2 linked regions of the Arabidopsis thaliana genome follow. The protein of the gene in region 1 interacts with the protein of each later gene in a pairwise test. Each region holds a gene or a part of one and is shown in the gene's direction. Other genes may lie near its edges. The genes, in order: DI19 and ZTL.

Evidence for each region.
Region 2: the proteins of DI19 (region 1) and ZTL interact in a two-hybrid assay, tested with the Arabidopsis thaliana proteins (one study listed by BioGRID).

The regions. Positions count from the first base shown.
Region 1 is NC_003070.9:21,072,152-21,076,961, reverse strand, and holds DI19 (drought-induced 19), read left to right. Parts: upstream 1-2,084; 5' UTR 2,085-2,236; coding exon of another isoform or gene 2,237-2,285; intron 2,286-2,513; 5' UTR 2,514-2,692; coding exon 2,693-2,902; coding exon of another isoform or gene 2,903-2,905; intron 2,906-2,987; coding exon 2,988-3,053; intron 3,054-3,168; coding exon 3,169-3,401; intron 3,402-3,484; coding exon 3,485-3,596; 3' UTR 3,597-3,656; intron 3,657-3,737; 3' UTR 3,738-4,107; downstream 4,108-4,810. Other genes in the region: AT1G56290 (CwfJ-like family protein), read right to left, coding at 80-244, 324-527, 611-898, 988-1,023.
Region 2 is NC_003076.8:23,239,276-23,245,194, forward strand, and holds ZTL (Galactose oxidase/kelch repeat superfamily protein), read left to right. Parts: upstream 1-2,151; 5' UTR 2,152-2,321; coding exon 2,322-2,566; intron 2,567-3,396; coding exon 3,397-4,940; coding exon of another isoform or gene 4,941-4,981; exon of another isoform or gene 4,982-5,048; coding exon 5,049-5,140; 3' UTR 5,141-5,315; downstream 5,316-5,919. Other genes in the region: AT5G57370 (U4/U6.U5 small nuclear ribonucleoprotein), read left to right, coding at 5,536-5,919. UniProt on the Arabidopsis thaliana protein: Component of an E3 ubiquitin ligase complex that plays a central role in blue light-dependent circadian cycles.

The DNA.
Region 1 (4,810 bases):
GTTAGAATATAAGCTGTCATAATTCCCAGTATGAAACAGTACTAACCAGTATGAAACAGTACATTAGCGGTTCATGTACCTTCTCAGAAATTCTTTCTTTTGGTTTTTTTTCTGAATCATTCTTTTCATTTTCCCCTCTTCTTCTATTATTTATGGCATTCAAATGGGCACGAGATGGAGCTGCTCTTTGAGATGCGACAGACTCAACAAGGTTACCAAGAGAACCATATCGCTCGCCAGCAACCTGCATAACCCTCAAAATGATAAGGCAATACTCAAAGACCAACGAGACTATATTAATCGTAAATCAATACAAAACTTACCTCCTCAAGCCTTAGCCCTTCTCTCGCAGCCTGTTCTTTCGCACGCTTGAGTGCTTTCATTCTCCAACTTGCACCCCCATCTCCAACAACCGAAGAAGGTAAAAGCTGGTCTTTACCATGTTTTTTCTCAGATTCTTCCTCTGGATAACCGGTTCCATTTTCTTTCAAATAAGGATTTAGTTCCCTTGGGTTAACTTTAGTTACCTGGCAGAGAAAATAAAAAGCATTAACTTAACTATCTAATACGGACTTGTTAGAAAGATACTCTCAAATAAAAATTCCCTCACCTCAGGTGCACTTTCTTCAAATTTATCCTCTACATCTGAAGCAGGGTTTGGATCAGCCTTTCGGGTTGGCGGCAGCATCCAATCGAGACCCATTTTCTTTCTAACAATATCCCCTTCAAGCAAGTCATCATCAACGGTCTCGCCATCTCCACTCTTGGCAATCTTCTTCCCATCTCTCTTACTTCCTTCTCCCCTACGCTCCTTTCTATTTACGTCCTTGTTCTTTCTTCTTCTATCCTTCCCACCTTTAGATTTCTCTCTTTCCCCCTCCCAACTATCATCATGCACCTAATAGCAAAGAAAAATAACATCAAACTCAATCCAAGATGAATAAACACAAAAGAAAATTCAGGATCATATGAAACTAGAAACTTTACCTCATCACGAGGTATGATCTTTATCCCAGAAAACATATTAACAATATCTGTCCAAGGTCCTGTTGGAGAAATAATCAACAGACTTCAAAGGCAGAGCGAAGCAAACTTCAAACCTACACAAAACAGAAAACAAATTAGACCATGTCATAGCCATGATACTACTGTAAACAGAACAAGATCCAGAGATCAACAAAATCAGCAATACCAAAAGCAAGATGCAAGCACATTATTTGACTAAGCAAACCTCAGCCACAATATTTACAAATTACAATCCTCTGATCAGTAAGATCATACTTTACTAGTGCTAAGCTTGTAGGTCACTAGGTAGATGTTATTAAAGCTTAAAGCAACGAGATTGAAAGTTTGAAACTAAATTTGATCCTATAGATTCTAAACCCTACTGATTGAGAGATCTTAAGAAAACCCATAAACAAACTTCAATCGAAATGCAACACGACGACCAATATACTGTACTTCGATTGGAACCAAATTGGAGAATTTAAGAAACTAGAGAATTGAAACAGAGAGCAATCTTAAGCAAATATGTCTCCTTTATCTTCGTTAATGAAGAATAAAGAACTAATTCTCAGGAAACTTACCGGAAAAAGAAGAAGAAGAAGACAGCTACTCCGGCGATGGATGATGAACTCTGTTCGGAAGAAGGAAACGATTTGCTCTGTTCGATTGATAAATTTAGGGCTCCAGAAATAAATAACATAAGAAATACAAACTCAGAGAAAGCAACGAACCCGGACTATAAACCGGACAAACACACAACAAAACCGGGAATATGAATCCAATAACCGGTCCATAATTTCTGCAAAACCGATAATACCAAAGAAAACAACGAATTGCGACTATAAACCGGAAGAGAAAAACGACCGGGATTTGGAAATTCGAGAACCGGTCCATCATTTCTGAAAGTCGATAATACCAGACAAATACCAACCGGGATTTGGAATTTGTTAACCGGTCCATCAGAATCGATGATACGAGATAAAATTGAAGAACCGGGACTGATAACCGGAACAAATCAACAAACCGGGAACTGGAATGTCGAGAACCGGTCTCACCATTTCTGAGAAATCGATAATAGTCCTCATTCACAACGCACTTTCTCTTCCTCTCTCCTCCTACCAAGAAATCATCGTCTTCTTCTTCATCTATTCAGGATCGATCCGGCTTGAGATTTATTACAAATTCGTCCTTCTATTTGCTCCAAAAGTTCGACAATTTCGTAGGGGCAAAGATGGACGCTGATTCCAAGAGATTTCTAGCTACGCTTCGATCCCGATCTGGTGAGAAACTACAGTACCTTTATGTCAACTTTGATTTTGAGCTTTGTAAGTTTGGTAATTTTGATTTTTGAGCTCTCAAGAAGGGAATATTTGAATAAAGTTTCAAACTTTTTTTATCACATGAGTTTGATTCAAATATCGTGTTTTCTTGACTTTATGCGAAATTATTTGGTTAGTTATGTAAGTGAAAGAACAGTTTGACTCATATTTATGTTTCTGGCTATATAGGTTTTTGAGCTATGTAAGAAAAATTCTTAAACTTGTTGTGTTTAGGAGCTGTAATAGATTTGCTTCTGAAATAAAGACAACAAAAAAACTGGATGTTCCTATCTAGGTTAACATGATTCAGCAGGTTGTCTCATGGAGTCTAGTTTTGTTTTTCTTTCATATTGTTGTTACTTGGCTAGATGAAATTTTGTGCTTTTACCAGTATCATACTTGCAAATATATATGATCTTTTATGTTTGAAAATTGTAGAAATGTTAATGGGCTTTGAAGAAATAGATGGAGATGATGATTTCCAGGAGGAGTTTGCTTGCCCGTTCTGTGCAGAATCGTATGATATCATCGGGTTGTGCTGTCACATAGATGATGAACATACTTTAGAGTCGAAGAACGCGGTATTGCTCTCTACTGGTCTTTACTATCAAATCAACTTGGAATCAAAAATTATATAGCAAATGTGTACATTGGATTTTTCAGGTATGCCCTGTTTGTTCTCTTAAAGTGGGAGTTGATATCGTAGCACACAAACGCTTCACCATGGGAGTTTATTTAAGATATCCTTTTTTCAATTTCTACGTTTATAACTTACAGATATTCTTAGTTTCTCACCATGGAATCACATTCCTCTGTTGAATTCCTTAATGAGTTTTACTTGCAGCGAAAGAGAAAGTCACGAAAAAGCGGTACCAATTCGACACTTTCACTTCTTCGGAAAGAACTAAGAGAAGGAGATCTACAAAGGTTGTTAGGATTTACTTCTCGTAATGGTTCTGTTGCGTCAAGTGTAACTCCTGATCCTCTCCTGTCGTCATTTATCTCACCTACACGATCACAGAGTTCTCCTGCGCCACGCCAAACCAAAAACGTATCCGAGGATAAACAGATAGAGCGGTATAGATTCTATATTAGCTTTCTTTATTAGATTATAGAGTTTTTTGAAGGTTTAGTTTTTGATTAGCATTGAACTTGTTCAGCAAGAGACAAGTGTTCATCTCACCGGTCTCGTTAAAAGATCGGGAAGAGAGGAGGCACAAATCAGAGTTTGTTCAGAGGCTCTTGTCATCAGCCATTTTCGATGAAGTCTAATGCACATACAAAGATTGAGAACATGGAGGAACTAATTCGAATCAGACTTGAGAGAATCTGGTATATATGAAGCTCTGTTAGTTGTGTAAAAGAACCTACACAGACACATTTTCATCGGAATCTTGATTCAACTGTGTGTAGGTTTCGAGAAAAACAATGGTTGGGATGAGAAGAAGACGGAGAAGAGCGAGATGCAGCTATGTTATCAATATCTATATCTATCTATGTATTGTGTCTGTTTGGTGCTACTAAATACATTGCGTAGAAATGTGTTTTCTTAAGTTTATTAAGCAATTGAAAAGTAAGATATAGGAAGAAGAATAAGTCCTCTTGTCTGTAGCATAAACCCTATTGGTGTTCTTGTGTTGTGTGTCTTATGAAATGAAAAATGTTCACTCTTGTAAGCTAGTAAAAGAGTGATAAAAGAGTGGTTGAGAAACCACGTACGAAGTCATCTGTTTAAGAATAATTCAACAATATTGTTACTTTTGGTGTGTGTGTGTTTTTCTCTACTCAATTCTCGCTCGTCGTTCACTTAAACGCTCTTGATCTCTACCACTCAATCTCACTTCTCTCTTCATTCACATCTCTATAAAGATATGTTTCTCTCATTTAAACTCTCTTGATATCTCTCACTCAATATCAATTCTCTCAATGATTTTAAATTTCATTGTTAGATTTCTATTTAGATTAGTATATTTAGGAGCCGTTCTCAATTTTTAGAATTAGAAATTTAAATTGAAATTTCTAGATTCAGATTGTGAAATTTTGGATATGTTATTTTTTTCATTTAGATATTTAGTTTCAGATGAAGATTGGAATTTTCTTTATATATTTTTTTAAAGTTTTTATTTAGAAATTGAATGGTAATTTTATAATTTGTTATATTATGAATTTAGAGTATAAATTAATTAATCAAATTTTAAGCTTAAGACATTCTTATTATTTTGTAAGTTGTTACTTTTAATTAAGTTTCTTTAAATTTGACTCACAAATCTTTATTTATGTTTGTACCTCTATTTTCACATTGTTCTCAATCATTTTACGGATTAAGAGAATTCCAATATGAAAATTCATTGATTCGAATAACAAAAAAAAGTAGATTACATGTTCCATAATACATACAGATTTCATATTTTGGATAATAATACAATAAATTTTGTAACTAAAACTACAATATATTTAGAGACTTAGTAATTATTTCAACCCGCACA
Region 2 (5,919 bases), on another chromosome or scaffold:
CGTTGGACCAACGCTTATTGTGATATTCATGTTCGTATTCTCTATGTAGGTTTTTCTTTATATCTTCCCAGCATATACGTAGTTATTTAAGTTTCTTAGAAAATTACTATACATTGAATATCTGAAACAATTAATCATGATATTATGGAATTTTTTTTCTTTCAAAATTTGTATAAAGAAAAAGGAATTTTATAGTGGGGGCATTTTAGCATCTCGTCGAAGATATGAATGAATAGAGAATTTTGCAAAGTGTAAAGAAAACAACCGACCAAACCCACTTGTTCTCTCACGTCCTTTTTATGTGTTAAATTGTCATACACAAAAAAAATATTTACAATTATAATTTTTCTAAAGTCTTTAATGTCAAAATTATATGATCTATTTATATCAGTAATACAAATGTAAATCGCTATATTTTATATTTTTGTTAAAAACTAAATACCATAATTTAAAAGAAATATTTTCTTTTTCTTTTTATTTGCGAAGATATTGTTTAGTCGTATGGCATTGTATTAGTTACTTACTTAGTAGTTTTACAGAACGAGGTGAAGAATGTCGGAAAAAAGAAAGAGGTGACGAAGAATTTTGACCAATTTGCTACTTTGTAAGGGAAATATAATACAAAAAAATTGTATTTAGCATCATTACAAACAATTTCTCCATTTTGTTTTAACTTTTACTATCAATTTTATTATTTTTATACGAAACTTATAATTAATAACACGAGGTAAGCCTGTTTTGTTAAATTGAGTATGTCAATTCATTTCATGAGATAATAACCTTCAAATAAAGTTCATAAGATAGTTGCCCCATATCGGTAACTTAGGCTTATAAAACAGTCTTATTATTGGTGATATAAAACAGTACTTAACTACTTATATATAAGTACTTACAACTTATTCTTATTATTGTTGATATAAAACACTAAAGTTGGGTTAAATCTTAATTCCAATTCAGCTGTTTGATGTTGGTTTAAAAGTCTGTTTGCACCTATGATTCTATGATATACCGAACCGATTCGATTAACCAGTAGTTACGAGAAGTTATTTGTTTCAACTAACTATCTATTGATTTGATGTAACTAGTTTGGTCCTCTGCGTATAAAAGGAACATTACAGAAGAGATTAAATGATAGGCAATTGATAATTGAGACGGTTCAAGAAAAGATTTAGCAACCAACAACCTTAACAAATTTTCATTTACGTAACTATAATTATAGATCTTGCTATTTTTCCATTTTATGGCGTCTTCTTATTACGAAACTCATACTATTCAGTCACATAATCTCATTTACTGGACTATAATGGGCTTTATTGTAATGGGCTTTATTGTAAGACATGAGCCCACAAATTTGGAAAGTAATAAGCTTCAGCTCAGCTAAAGAGAGTCTAAAAACCAAAGGGAAAAATGTCATTAAAATCCCCAACTTATTGAAAAAGTTGATTTAAATCCTCAACTTCCAACGAAACGAAATAAATATCAAACTTTTGTTGATTTTCCAAATAAATACCAAATTTTGGTTGACTTTCCAAATAAATATCAAACTTTTGTTCGAGTAGCCATATTAAGTATGACATTAACAGACCCTGTTATTAGAGTCCATTTTTTGTTAACAGACTCGTTAATTGAAAACGACAATATTCCCTATAACAATAAAACAACGTCGTTATGTCATAAATGCTCAATTAAATCCCAATTTCAAATCATATGAAGATTTAGGGTTAGAATTTTGCTTGATTTGGAGATTTAAGATTGGATTTGGGAATTTAATTCGGTCGTTATAATAAAACGAGGTCGCTTTCTTGTTATAGGAAACAATAACGTTTTAAATTAACGGATCTGTTAACAGAAAATTAACTCCGTGAACGCAATATGTTAATCTACTTAATATTATACCTAATATGACCATATATACGAAAGTTTGGTATTTATTTGGAAAGTCAACAAAAATTTGATATTTATTTCGTTTAGTTGGAAGTTGATAATTTAAATCAACTTTTTCAATAAGTTGGAGATTTTAATGACATTTTTCCCAAAAATCAAGGGGAGTTTTATGGTTTTATCTACTTGACCCGACAGAGAAATCCGGACCCGGATAAAATCCGACCCGTTCGAATGAACTCATACGGCCGAGATTTTTCCACCAAACTCGACGGTTACCACTCGTTTCTTTGTCCACCATCTTCTCTCTCTCTCTCTCTCAACCCCCGAAAATCTCCTTTTCCCAAAATTTTCCGATTATCTCACGCCGGATTGTTTTTCAATCGCCGTCTTCATAATCTCCGGCGACTGAAATCAGTCTGGTAACTATTTGAATTTTCATGGAGTGGGACAGTGGTTCCGATCTAAGCGCCGATGATGCTTCGTCACTGGCGGATGATGAAGAGGGAGGTCTTTTTCCCGGAGGTGGACCAATTCCATATCCCGTTGGGAATTTGCTTCACACGGCGCCTTGTGGATTCGTTGTTACTGATGCCGTTGAGCCGGACCAACCTATTATATATGTCAACACCGTCTTCGAAATGGTTACAGGGTATCGTGCTGAGGAAGTTCTCGGAGGAAATTGGTTAGTTGTTTTTTTGTTATCTTTGTGATTAGTGTTCTAATTGATGCGAGGAATTTCTATTTTTGGTTATTGGCTCACTTTACCAAATTTTGGCTACTTGGTGGAGTTTGATTAAGGTCCGTTTAGTTTGAGGATAGGTGAGGAATGTTTGTGATGATGGTAATCTGAAGGACACTCTATTGATCACTAGATTTAGTATGGATGGATACTTTGGTGGAGAGAAAACAAAGATATGTCTATTGTTAGATAATCATTAGAGTCTCTGCCAAATGGCAGAGAAGACTCAGTGGAGTCTCTGTGTGTGCCTAAGTATTCTCTGCCTTCAGATGTTTATTCAGTGATTGTAGTTTTCATATTAATCGAGCTCTCATGGCTGTTTTTGAGCTGTTTCAGCTGCTCCGCATGTTAAGGAAACTTGAAAGTGTATATAGATGCCGAGATAAAGCGAGCTATCCCTGTGTAGTTTCTCGGGGTCGTAGCGAACACAATAAATTCTTTACAATGTTGATGTGCAGTGAACCAGTGAAAAGGCTAAGTCCAATGCGTTTAGTTGTGTGTTAGTTTTCCATGAGAGAAGTGCTAGTAGCTTCCTTTATTAATAAGCTTTGATCTTACAGGAGGAGCTGATCAGTTCAAATAGTTGTTATTCTTGAACAGAATGAAAATCTGGTTAGGTTATAATTATGCTTGTTTGGTGTATTTGTTTTTTTTTTCAGTCTCTACATGCACGGCCAAATATTTTGTCTATTGCTTTTCCGCATCAGTAAGTTGGAGATAAATTTTGTTTTTGGTCTTATATTGTTTCTTAATTAATTTCTCGGATTCTGCAGCCGCTTCTTGCAATGTAGAGGACCGTTTGCTAAAAGAAGGCATCCATTAGTTGACTCTATGGTTGTTTCCGAGATAAGAAAATGTATTGATGAGGGCATTGAATTTCAAGGCGAGTTGTTGAACTTTAGGAAAGATGGATCTCCGTTGATGAATAGATTGCGGTTGACTCCTATTTATGGAGACGATGATACTATTACCCATATAATTGGAATCCAGTTCTTTATCGAGACAGACATTGACCTTGGACCTGTTCTTGGATCTTCAACAAAAGAAAAGTCAATTGATGGGATATACTCAGCTTTAGCTGCTGGGGAGCGGAATGTTTCCCGAGGAATGTGTGGGTTATTCCAGCTGAGTGACGAGGTTGTGTCTATGAAGATATTGTCACGCCTGACACCAAGAGACGTTGCATCTGTTAGCTCTGTGTGCCGCAGGCTATATGTGCTGACAAAGAATGAGGATCTTTGGCGAAGGGTTTGTCAGAATGCATGGGGAAGTGAAACAACACGGGTATTAGAGACTGTTCCTGGTGCTAAAAGACTCGGTTGGGGCCGCTTGGCTAGAGAACTGACCACCCTTGAAGCTGCAGCTTGGAGAAAACTTTCGGTTGGAGGTTCTGTTGAGCCTTCTCGCTGTAATTTTAGTGCTTGTGCTGTCGGGAACAGAGTTGTTCTGTTTGGAGGAGAAGGTGTGAATATGCAGCCTATGAATGATACCTTTGTTTTAGATCTGAATTCTGATTACCCTGAATGGCAACATGTCAAAGTGAGCTCCCCTCCTCCAGGACGCTGGGGCCACACGCTCACTTGTGTAAATGGCTCCAATCTGGTTGTATTTGGTGGCTGTGGTCAGCAAGGTTTGCTGAACGATGTGTTTGTCTTGAATCTCGATGCTAAGCCGCCTACTTGGAGGGAAATTTCGGGTTTGGCTCCGCCTCTACCAAGATCATGGCACAGCTCATGCACCCTTGACGGAACCAAACTGATAGTCTCTGGAGGCTGTGCAGATTCCGGCGTTCTTCTAAGTGACACGTTCCTCCTCGACCTTTCAATAGAGAAACCAGTGTGGAGAGAGATTCCAGCTGCCTGGACTCCGCCTTCCCGGTTAGGCCACACACTATCGGTTTATGGAGGAAGAAAGATCTTGATGTTTGGTGGTCTTGCTAAGAGCGGGCCTTTGAAATTCCGTTCGAGTGATGTCTTCACAATGGATCTAAGCGAAGAGGAGCCTTGTTGGAGGTGTGTGACCGGTAGCGGAATGCCTGGAGCAGGAAACCCAGGAGGAGTAGCACCACCACCAAGGCTAGATCACGTTGCAGTTAACCTCCCTGGAGGCAGAATCTTGATATTTGGCGGCTCAGTGGCAGGGCTTCACTCAGCGTCTCAGCTTTATCTACTTGACCCAACGGAGGACAAACCGACTTGGAGAATACTAAACATTCCAGGAAGACCGCCTCGGTTTGCTTGGGGACATGGCACTTGTGTTGTGGGAGGAACACGAGCGATAGTGCTAGGTGGTCAGACCGGAGAAGAATGGATGCTAAGTGAGCTACACGAATTATCACTAGCGAGCTATCTCACGTAACCAAAGAGAGCCTATGTATGAAAGAGAACCCAGCCATAGAAGAAGATGAAAAAGGGTTCTCGGTTAGGATACTGGAGCTTTAGGGGAGAGCGACTCAGTGGTGGGACTTTGGTACTGCTCATATTTTTTAAGTCCTTCTTCTTCTTTCTTCCTCATTAGGAGGACTTTTAGTGCTTATATAATATATATAGTGAAAATGTCATCTCTCTCTTTCTCTCTGTAGTGCTTGTTTCTGTTGTTCTCTTTGAAGTTTGAGAAGTGCATTTGTGTTCATATTCTGTAAATTTTATTTATGATTACAAACTTTAATAAGATCCTTTCTCTTCTTATGCTATTGGACCACTATTTTCATTTCCAATTTCATACTTTTAGTTCGGAGACAAAATGAGATTATTATTATTTTTCCATTGAGTATGATGAATATAAGAAAATTGGAAAAATAGAGGATAAAACCCCAAATTTTCATTTTAATAGAAAAAATTGGGGAAGAAAATTTACAGTGTTGAAATTGGTTAAACCCTGACACTAGCACCTTCCTCAGTCGCATCACCACCATGTCAGAGCGCGACCGCCGCGAACGAGAGAGGGATAAGGACCGTGAACCAGACCGTGATAGACGCCGAGGTAGAGACGACCGTGACCGTGACCGTGATCGAGACCGGGAAAGAGATAGAGAGCGCGACCGTGACCGAGGGCTTAGAAACAAAAAATCCCGATCTCGTACTCCAGACCACCACGCTCGTGCTCGCCACGTGCGCTCTCCGGAGAGGTATCGCTCTCGTTCCCGCTCGATTGACCGTGACCGGGACCGGGACCGTCAACGACACCACAGGCGCAGGTCTCCTTCTCCAGATGCTCCGTCGCGAAAACGGCCTCGCCAGGGTTCAGTAGACGATGAGAAAGAAAGGAATCGCAAAAGAGTAGTGACTGATTCCGTT